Coturnix japonica: one gene and its partners. The protein of the gene in region 3 binds, or shares a complex with, the protein of the main gene of each other region. Links are inferred from orthologs where the notes say so. Each region holds a gene or a part of one and is shown on either strand. Other genes may lie near its edges. The genes, in order: STK25, STK26 and STRIP2.

The links.
Region 1: STRIP2 (region 3) and STK25 share a complex: the UniProt entries of both Homo sapiens proteins name them as parts of the core of STRIPAK complex. The link is inferred for Coturnix japonica from reciprocal best matches to the Homo sapiens genes STRIP2 and STK25.
Region 2: STRIP2 (region 3) and STK26 share a complex: the UniProt entries of both Homo sapiens proteins name them as parts of the core of STRIPAK complex. The link is inferred for Coturnix japonica from reciprocal best matches to the Homo sapiens genes STRIP2 and STK26.

Annotation. Positions count from the first base shown.
Region 1 is NC_029524.1:3,903,515-3,907,163, reverse strand, and holds part of STK25 (serine/threonine-protein kinase 25), read left to right. Parts: intron 1-1,292; coding exon 1,293-1,523; intron 1,524-2,819; coding exon 2,820-2,876; intron 2,877-3,649. UniProt on the Homo sapiens protein: Oxidant stress-activated serine/threonine kinase that may play a role in the response to environmental stress.
Region 2 is NC_029519.1:3,354,110-3,357,758, reverse strand, and holds part of STK26 (serine/threonine-protein kinase 26), read right to left. Parts: intron 2,582-3,649; coding exon 2,351-2,581; intron 1-2,350. UniProt on the Homo sapiens protein: Serine/threonine-protein kinase that acts as a mediator of cell growth. Modulates apoptosis. In association with STK24 negatively regulates Golgi reorientation in polarized cell migration upon RHO activation.
Region 3 is NC_029516.1:802,811-806,459, reverse strand, and holds part of STRIP2 (striatin-interacting protein 2), read right to left. Parts: intron 3,107-3,649; coding exon 3,009-3,106; intron 2,822-3,008; coding exon 2,695-2,821; intron 1,558-2,694; coding exon 1,457-1,557; intron 927-1,456; coding exon 860-926; intron 1-859. UniProt on the Homo sapiens protein: Plays a role in the regulation of cell morphology and cytoskeletal organization. Required in the control of cell shape. Calmodulin-binding scaffolding protein which is the center of the striatin-interacting phosphatase and kinase (STRIPAK) complexes.

The DNA of each region.
Region 1 (3,649 bases), on a different chromosome or scaffold from region 3:
TGCCTATCCCCTCCAGTCTGTTCCCAGTGCATTTGTTCAAATACAGCCTGTTTGGGTGTTGCCATGGATGCAGAAGGATATTTGGTTATCTATCTGTATCTTGGACTGGATTGCACATGGAAATCCTGTTGAGTGAGCTGACTGTGAAGCTTACTCCCTACAGCAACATGCTGGGTGCAGAAGGCAGGCAACGTGTAATGACTGCTTGGTTAATCAGTAAGCAGCACCCAGGGATGCTGCTAAACCTGGTGTTAGATGCACAAACACCCTGCCTTGTGCTCAGATAAAATCTGCCCAGCTCAAGGTCCTCGCATGGGAGTGGTCCCTCTGGGTGACATGTGAGGTGAGACTGAGAAGTTCTGGGTGTGGAGAACTCCCTGTAACCACTGTTTGCTTCCTGTAGGTCAAGCTGTATTTTCCATATATATATATTTTTTTCTCTTTTGTTTAAACTAGACCTTATTTTTTAAGGTAGAAAAATGAATCACAAAGAGCCCTTTAATAGCATGAAGCAGAGCAGGCCCTCCTGGTGTGCAGCTGAACTGAATGAAAGAGCATCAGAGCATGATTCTTCCTCCTTCTCTTGTGCTTGTTGTTGTTGTTCCTCCCTCTGTTGCTCTGACCTTCTGAGAGATGCGAGGCTCCATCAGGGCTGGGTCTGCCTGAAATCCAGGCTACGGTAAAGGCAGCTGATGGCAATTGGTGTTTGCATTGCTGGAGTGTGTTGCCCTCCAAACAAGTAGGGAAGGTGAAAATCGGTTCAAATCAGTCAAATATTTGAATGTGAGAAGGGAAACATCTTTGTGAACTTCTGATTGCCTCTGACTTGTGCCCATTTTCTCATCCCAGCCTTCAGAGTCTGGTTGTGATACACCTCACCTTCCTTTCATTCAGGTATGGATGCATCCTTGCTCATGAAGCTCATTTGGCCCCAGTTTGGTGCCTGTAATTGAGCTGCATGCCACATCAGTCTGGTCCCAAAGGAGCTGCTGCCTTAGGAATGGATCCTGCTGACATTCTCCTTTCTGGCCTCTCTCTTGTTCCTCCCCAGCTGTGATCTGCAGGGGGCACAGACCCCATGTAAAAGTCTGCTTCAGCTCTTATCTTAGACATGTTCTGTGATACGTTTTTGAGCCCATGGAGACCATGGAGGGCCTGTGGGCTTCAGGTGAATTCAACAACACAGCAGATGTGTAGATAGAAGATGCAAGGCAAACAGTTCTGATATGCACGGTGCTCTGCAGGCTGCTGTGGGACTTGCTGACTTTTGCCTTATTTCCTTTCTCCTTTAGCACTCCAGGGTGGATCCTGAGGAACTGTTCACCAAGCTGGAGCGGATTGGCAAAGGATCATTCGGTGAAGTGTATAAAGGGATCGACAACCGCACCAAGGAGGTGGTTGCTATCAAGATTATTGATCTGGAGGAGGCTGAGGATGAAATCGAGGACATTCAGCAGGAGATTACGGTGCTCAGCCAGTGTGACAGTCCCTACATCACCCGGTATTATGGCTCCTACTTGAAGGTAGGACAAGGCCATGGTAATTCTCTTGCCAGCAGTTTGGGGACTGGGTTGGGCTTCTGCAGGACCCGCAGCTGGTGATGGCAAACAGCACTCAGGTCCCAGTCCACGGGCATCGAGTCAGTGTGGCAGCAGGAGCAGCAGTGGCTCTGCCCACTGTGTGTGTGTAGTTTTCATATGAGGCTGGTCTTCAAGACACTTGCATGTGGAAATGAGGTTCCTGGTGCGGCCCCAAGAGCAGGGTACTTGAGTGAAGAGCAAACTCCTCACTGAAAAGGCAGATCCCTCCTCTATCTGAGCATCCTCAAAAGGAAATTTGTGGAATGCTTTATGGAAATACCACAGTTCTAAGGTAGTAGCACTGAGGGCTTTATGTTTGTAGAAGGATCCAAGCTATCTCTGAAAAGAATAGGAGCCTGTCTTGATCTTGTGATTGTGATATTTCCACCGGAGCACTGGATGCTTCCAGTGGATGGCTTGAAACCTTCAAGCCTGTTTCATTTCCACTGCAAGCTAGCAGGCAGGTGTGGGGCAGCACTTACACATATCAAGGTCTGGAGCTTTCTTACCACACTCCCTACCTTATAAGGGAACAGGAGCAGGGAAGGAAGTACTGAAGGGTTGAAGAAATAATGAAAAGAACAGGGTCTGAGTCTTTGAAGGAGTGGTGCAGCAACGAGGTGATGTTGTTCCCCCTGAAAACAGGTTCAGGAACCCCCAGTAGAAGTTCCTAATGGTGATGGCAGCTGCTGGAGGCATGTTTAACACTGGCTGTATGGCACAGCAGTCCTTGAGCTCTTTGGATCCCGATTATTCCTTGCATATTTTTCACAGTCGATAATGCATTTTCTCAGCATTCTGCCAAAACCACCATGAAAGCTGTAGTTTTGTGGACCAGCTGTTTATCTCCTCAGTCTGGAAATATCTTCTCTAGGGAGAAAGTAAGTGCCTTGCTGACCATACCCTTCAAACTGGAATCCTGTTAGTGTGATCAAAGGCTGCAAAGCTCCCCTGTCATTGGCAAAATGTGCTAGATCTGTTGGAGTGATGCTGAATGGCTCCAGCCTGACAATATGCTTATCTCCCTGCAGTCTGGTGCCTGTAGTGTTACTAAGCTTGCTTAAGCAGAACTGAAGACAAAGAAATGCTGGGGGCAGGAGCAGGTCCTCTTTTGCCTCTTGAGAGCCACGGCAGGCAACATTCCTTGTGTTGTGTACAGGGGCTGTTTACCTCAAGTGTTCTGCTTGTCTGCCTGGTCTTAATGCTGTCTTTGCTCTTGGACTGTGCTGTTACTTGCAGGGCACCAAGCTGTGGATAATCATGGAGTACCTGGGAGGAGGTTCAGCCTTGGATTTGGTAAGTGTGTGGTAAGCTCTGGGCCCTGACATATCTTGGCTGAAGTTTTGATTTGTGAAATGCCCATAAGGCAGATGCTGGCTTGATGTGTGACGTCTTTTTGACAGCCCTGTGCCTGAAGGGTAGGCAGTGCAGGGCGGATGTGCTGGTTATGCATATCCCAGGACAGAGGAAATGTTTGCATGGAGCTCAGCTGTTGAAACAGAATTCTCCAGGGTGTTCTGCTGCTTTACAGTGGAAAAAAACAGTGAAATGAAATTTGACAGCAGTAAGTTGTTCTTGAGCAACATAAATCCACAGCTCACCTAACTGAAGTCTTGTGCCTGCCAGGAGTTTGTGGTTCAGTGCTTGCATGACATCAGGCTTGGCAGGGACCTGGCCTGGCCTACAGTTGGGATTTACAGGTGTGTTAATAATACTGATCGTGTCTAACAAGCTGCCTCAGACTTCAGGGGAACACTAATGATAGTAAACACACAAAAAAAGTTCTGCTGTGCTGTGTTCTTTCACAGGATTCTGTTTTTCTCTTTGGGACTATTAAGCCTGTTCTTCCAGAAGGAACGAAGGTCATATAGTGAAAACTGCTGAGCCTGCACTGAGTTGGAGGAAGGGTGCAGCAGGGGGACCTGTAATCAACAGCAGAAGGCAGGGCTTGTTTAGAGGAGAACTGATTAGAGGGAGCAAAGTTGTGATACAGTACCCTGGCACTCCACAGCCAGAAGGCAGAAGTTCTCACTGATGTTATGATGGCTGAAATTCAGCTCCTGCCTGCT
Region 2 (3,649 bases), on a different chromosome or scaffold from region 3:
ATGTTTATACATCACCTACCAATGCTTGGGCCTTGCAAGACAGCCAAATTTAAGGGAGAAAATTATTAAGACTAGCTGAGTTTTAAGATTTATTCAACAGTAAATTCCCATTTGAGCTCCAAAGTTCAAGATACAAAGGTACCCCATGTCTTTGTGATTTGGGAATTTTGCACCTTTTTGTGTCACGATAATGGAAAATTAGCACCAGTCTTATCTCAGTGGTAAGGAAGATGACCCTAACTTATCTCAATAACGTTTTTAAAATATCTACTAACAGACAAATAACACTACATTGTTAAGTAAAAATGCTTAGGGGCTGTCTGTATTTCTTAAAATCACATTTACAAGTCAAAGATGCAAGCTGTAGCTAAAGAGCAGCTAGGCTGCAGAATATAAGAGTATCTCATATGGCATCAGTTGAGCTGACTAGGTTACAAATTAGTAAGTCAAGTAATTGAGATAAAGACACTCTTTCCTCCTCCTGTTCAGTTTCTGCTTAGCAGGAGGATCACTGGGAAGATCCTGAGTGCTGCTGGTAAGTCACAGGGCCACTGGGACTGGGCCGCTCCATTCCTGTTAGTAACAACACTGGCTCTGCATCCTGACATGCAAGAAACTAAGAACCATGTAAAGCTCCAGAATATTTAAAATAAATTGTATACAGAGGGAAAAACAACCTCATCTGAAAGGCTGAACAGTTACAGAATCCTTGCAGTTAACATACGTTGTTTAAAGTTTTCATCATAACATTCAATTATCAAATGTGTTTTCTTACAAAGGAGAAGAGCTGAAGCTGACTGGTACTTGATGGCAGTAACCATCTGCTTATTTGAAGTTCAATAAAGTTGGTTACTTCTTAAATACTGAAATACACTTATGCTCTTTTTGCCACTACCTTTGAAAAGTATTTCTAGGAGCTATTTTCAATAATCTTTATGTATAAAACCAACAAGCCTATTTGATCACTCCTGATGTAATCTTGGTGCCAGTCATATCCACTAAGAACTGCTATTGCACTCAGCAGCCTAAGACTCTGCTTTCTATGAAATAACAGACCTTAAGTTTCAGGATCTAGCCTCAACATTCTTTAACCTTTAATTATTAAGTCATTTTGTACAAAACTGTACATACTTCATTTCCAGAAGAAGTCTACAGAATATGCAGAACAAAATACTGAACAGCTTCATACTAAGGCTGACAGCCATCCTCAGAACTACAGCTAATAGAAAGTTAGAAGCTACAGCAACCTTAGTTTTTACTTTTAAGAATAGACAGATAGTACTCTCGAAATGCTTGTCAGTACCAAAATTAGAGTCAGCATAAAAGATTATTTGGACACTTCTACCAAAGCCAATACACTCTCCCACCTGAGAAATCTCAAGCTGAAAGAACCAGTACTAGCAAACAAGGATGAATCTAGTCTAAGGCAGGGAAGAGCAAGCAATAAAATTAACTGCCATGCTAGTATGGGATTAAAAACAATCCTGTGATTTATTTTTTTAAGGGAAGTTTCTTAAGGGAAAATAAACAAAATTTCACAAACAACTCTACAAACATCACCCAAAAATGTTTCCCCCAAAATAGTAGACAAGAAAAACCAGGGGACCAGCATTAATCTTTCAGAATGCATTAAAAAATGGAAAGAACCCAAACAAGGAAAGTAATGCAGAATTAACACACTCCTGCGCTTGCCAGGAATTTTTAAAGAGCAGAAAACCCAGACCAGGAGCTGGAAGTTACATCCAACTATTCTGTCAGTGCTATACATTCATATACTTCCAATTTTTATCTCTGTAGGGCTGAGCATTGTTGTGTGTGTTGATGTTTCCTTTTTTTAAAGCTTGTTTCTTAATTTAAGCCTTAGATAACACGAGAGTTACATAACCACTTTGTACTGTTGTCAGTTCTACTTTGTTTCAGGCCTACTATAACACACAACTACAAACATCTCCACACGGTGCAGCGTTTCCTTCCATATCAAAGGAGGGTTTCTCTTTTTTGTTAGTCTAGCTATGAAAACATATTTTTCCCCCTCCAAAAAGGCTCAAAATTTCACTGGAAGTTGTGAGGGAAGAAAGAAGAGAAAACCTCTTCCTCCATGTAATTTTATAAGCTCAATAGCAATAGGAATCTTCTGTCAACTCCGCTCCTTTTGTAGCCATTTTGTGAAGATCTGAGCTTTAAGGAACATGCAGCAAAAGATGCAGAACAAAGGCAACTCCATTCAAAGGGAAAAACAGAAAGTCAAGTTGATGTGATAACACTTTCTCAGTTATAGGAACTTCCCTGTGCATCATTCAAAATGGGCTGACACATTGCTAGTAAATGTTTGTGCAGTAAGATACATTACCTTTAAATATGATCCATAGTATTTCGTTACATAAGGACTATCACACTGACTTAAAACAGTTATCTCTTGCTGTATATCTTCTATTTCATCTTCTGCTTCCTCGAGGTCTATGATTTTTATAGCAACCACTTGCTGCGTCCGATTATCAATTCCTTTAAAGACTTCACCAAAGGAGCCTTTCCCAATGCGTTCCAGTTTTGTGAATAATTCTTCTGGGTCTGCTCTATGGTTCTAGAGAAAAAGTTAAAATAAATAAATAAATAAAAGATGAGCTATCTTCATTTACTTCCAAGTTATTAGCCCTCATTAATGCCCATGAAACACATCACCCAGATTTATCATTATTAGAGTGCTCGTATCAGATGAATTTATTTCCTATACACTCACTTCTAATTCAGCTATTAGTTACAAAATGTATATTATACAATTATGTCAAAGGTAAGTGAATTTCACCATCGAAAGCAACAGGTACAAATCTCATTTCCCACATAATGCTTTTAAAGGAAAGAATAGAGCTGTTCTTAATACTGATCCTGTCTGTGTGGTAATTCAGAAGTCTACAGAATGCAATTACTGGCACAGAAGTGCTAACATCATTCCCCATGTGAATAAGGCTGGGCTCACCTATGAGGTCAACAGCCTTGGGCAGACAAAGCTCCACTTCAAGTAATAAAACACAGAGGTAGCTGCAAGAGGACTACAGCACCCGGAGCCCATTAGCAGCATCCTCCACCCAAGCACACTGAGCTTTTGAGATCTGCTAAGATGTAAGGCAACAAAAGGCACTGAGAGACATTCAAAGGAGTACAGATGCAGAAATTAAACTTGAAGCACTGGTCAGAACGAGCTGATATCACCCAAACACGCCTTGGATGAGGAACACAGCACCAGACAGTACAGCACTCATGAGGACATCTGGTTTCCTTGGAAGGTTAACTGCTCTATGATCAGCACTGACATCATACAAAGGTCTTAACGCTTCCCAGCTCCATTCAAGGAATCAGAGGGAAGAGAGAAGAGGACCTCTAACACTTGCAGCAACTTTGCTGCTGCTAACTTGCCGCGAACAAGAAAACCCAAAGGCCCTCTGATTCTGATGTCTCTCCTGTATCCCTACACGTCATGCTTACCCAGCAGATCAAGTGAACTGCCCTGACAGAAGTGACAGCTTTGGCAAAGGCAGCCATTGTGCATCTGCTGCATGGATTACCCTGCACAACACACAACTCTAGTACCAACGGGAAACAAAACATCTTTACAGCATCATTTTGAAAACGGGTGCAAAAATCATCACTGGGA
Region 3 (3,649 bases):
CATCTATTACATCTGCCAGGAAATGTGATATGGCTGTGATGTTAAATCAGTGCAACAGAGTTAAAACAAACAAAAGACAGCATAAATATTGGCTGAAGAAAAGAAACACAACTACGTGCACTAATGTCACTGAAGAAGCAGTGAAGCAGTGTGTGTTTGATTTCTGTAAATAGGCACTGGATTTTTATAGAAATGGAGTTAGCAATCAATAAAAGAGGGAGGTGAAGAAAGAAAAAGGGAGGAGAAGAAATGAAGGAAGAAAAGAAGAAAAAAGAAAGGGAAAGAAAAGAAAGGAAAAGGAAAGGGAAGGGAAGGAAAAGGAAAAGGAAGGGTGAAAAGGAAAAGGAAAAAGGGAGAAGGAAAAAAAAGACAAGGGAAAAGGGAGAAGGAGAAAGGGAAAGGGAGAAAGGAAGGAAGAAAGAGAAAAGAAAAAAGGGGAAAAAGTAAAAAGAAAATGAAAAAATGAAAAGGGAAAGAGAGAAAGATAAAGAAGGGAAGCAAGGGAAGGGGGAAAAAGGAAAAGAGGGAAAGGAAAAAAGGAAACAAGGATAAAAGGAGAAAAAGACCACTGTGTGCCACTAGAGCTCCCAACGATGTGTCACTAGATGTCCCCATCGGGCCAACTTTGGCTCATCAAAACCACAGAAAGCCTTTCCCTTTATTTCTGATTGCAACGTGTTCACAGCCAAGGAAAACGACATAGGCTCGAAATTTTAGCAGCAGCAGTGAGATAAATTTTCAAGCCCTTCTACAGGAAAAAGTCTATTTTGGGGCTGAAGACACAGAAAAAATGAAAGAAAAGTCCTTCCTCACCCACCTGCATAAAGCAATACTGTTACAAGTGCTCTGCTTCACTTACTAGGCTTTCTGCAGTGAGCTCAGGCAACTCGTGGACTGTACAGTGCGGGTAATCCAGGACAGAGATGCTGTGGAAGATGGGAAAGAAGAGACTCATTAAGGACAATCGGCATGTGAGCCTAACGAGCAGAGCCCTCCCTGCTCCCAGGCATGCATTAGTGGGGGTTTGGAGGAGGTGGATCCATTAGGACATGGCAGATCAGTTATTTGTGTGTATATTAAAAACAAAAACTCATACGAAAAGCAGATTTTAGGTTAAAATGGAAATATCTGACAGCAAGAATATTACCAGCAAGATAATGCATGGCAAGGGCGTTGAGTCTTGCCCAAAGTTTCCAAGCCTTCTGTGTCTACTGCCTTTCTAAAAGTAGCCAACCAAAAAACCCTCAAACGTACACATATATAATATATGTGTATGTGTGTATAATAATAAAATGTACTTTAGACATACATTTTATTAATACATATAAGTGGGGTTTGGTTTCTTTTTGGAAAGCATCTGGCATGGAGAGGATTCAGTGCCACACTTTGCCCTTGCTTGAGCATCGTGCTGTATTTCCCACTGCAGCATCACTGGCCATCGCATGCGTGGCTGTACCTGTTTTTGGCAGTGATATAGGACATGATGTTTTGGTTGAAGAACTTCAGGATCAGCGGGATGCAGTTGGCAAACACCAAATGCTGGGACACATACTCAAACTGGGGGAGAGAAGCGAAATGGGTCAGCGTCAACAGGAACAACTGGAAGCGTGTGCTGGGAATTTCCATTTCCAGTTTGGATGGTTTGCTCTGAACCTGGCAGACCATCTTCCTTGTGCACAAGTCTGCTGTGTGAGGCTTGCATCACATACAACAACTCCCAGCATCTGGAAAAGTGTGTTGACACACAGAATTTCATGGCAAGACTCTAGAAGAGGTGCACCCAGTGAATGCAGGTCGCTTTTCAAGGTAAAAACTGGGGGAAAACATTAAATATGGAAGGAAAAGGAGGAGACTGACTACTACAAAGGATATAGGGTAACTTCCATTCTGGCTTCTACAGTTCACAGAATTGCAGGGGCTGGAAGGGACCTCTAGAGATCATCTACTCCAATCCCCTTGCCCAAGCAGCTCCTTCAACCCATTTGCACAGATCAGCAAAAAGAACAGATAAGGAAAAGAAAGAAAGGGAAAGAAAGGGAAAGAAAGGGAAAGAAAGGGAAAGATAAGGGAAGAAAAGAAAGGAAAAGAAAGGGAAAGAAAGGGAAAGAAAAGAAAGGGAAAGAAAGGGAAAGAAAGGGAAAGAAAGGGAAAGAAAGGGAAAGAAAGGGAAAGAAAGGGAAAGAAAGGGAAAGAAAGGGAAAGAGAAAAAGAAAAATGCCCACTAATTGTTTAACACAAATCAAACTGCATCTAGGACCCTGAGCTGGTTCTACTGAGGCCAGAGCCCTGAGAGCTCTACCCTGCTGAGGACCTCACGAGTCCTGCCTAGCCCCACTGCTCGTGTGGAAGTTGGGCACAGCAGGAGGAATCCTGCCTAACTCCTCCCCACCCCGGCTGCCAGGAGAGGCTCCCTCTGCTGAGATCTCTGGAATTCTAACCTGATTAACCACAGCATGTGTTCATCCACAAGTCAGAGAGCTCTTTCCACATGAGTGGAAACCACCCTGTCAACAAACAGCCAAAGATATATTGCAGGCAGGTTATTCCTGCATGAGTAATGCTCTAAAAAACATGTCCCAGAGCCAGGGTTCATCCCTACAATCCACTGCTCCTCTTGGAAACATTTCCTGGAGAGCTCCAGTAAGGATGCACCAGCCCCACGAGCACCAACCGTGACCCCTTCTCAGTGCTCACCTGGTAGATGTGGTTCAGCTTGAAGTGCTTGAGGAGCAGCAGCAGTAGAGCCGAGATGCTCTTCACAATAATCTCCTTGTGCCTGTTCACATCAATCCCCAACTTCATGCTCTGCAGGACAGTGATGCTGGCATGGTGAGGGAAGATCAAGGCTAACCATCAACCTGATGGGACCATCACTGACCCACATCCCTTGGACCCCACATCTGCAGCCCCATGCCCACATTTGGGGCTCCCTTAACCTATTTGCAACTCCCAACTTTCCCACTTGGTCCAAGGCTGGAACAGCTGGAGGTATCTCCTTCAGGACTTACGGCATCTCCTCAGGCAAGACGTCTGCCAGGATGTTGATGGAGTCAGTTTTGGCCTTGGAGGTGGGCGCTGCAGCAAGGAGGATCTTCAGCAGAGCGATCTGCAGAGGAGGCAGGTGTGGAGGCAAAGGGCGAATCCCTTCCTTTTCCTTGAGACTAGACAACTTCAAGCCAGCTCTAGAAGTTTCCACCAGCCCAAGGTTCACTCATGGTGATGGGCCAGCTGTGCCAATGCTCAGCTCTCCTTTTGTACTCAACTGCAGGCAGCAGGGCAGCTCAGCTTTTGTATTAAGTTGATGCACTGAGCTCTAGTGGTATGGATAAAACAGCGCTGCAGCTTATTGCATTTAAATGTTTGCCTCTCCCTGCAGACAGACTGTAGGTGGCCCAAAATGCATCTTAAAAGAGCTGAATTTGTGAATTGTAGTGTGTGGGAATCTCTTGAGTCGGTGGGAAAGCTGAAAGGGATGTCCCACTGTCCTATCTCCAAACACTGGACCATGCCTCTGGGTATCTGACCTCCTCGATCCTCTGGAACCCTCCTCTTGGAGATGACTTTCCACCCAGCTCTGCTCTGGATTCCCACCGAAATCCCAACGTTCAGATCCCTAACACCCACAGACCCTATTTCATTTCTAAGGAAC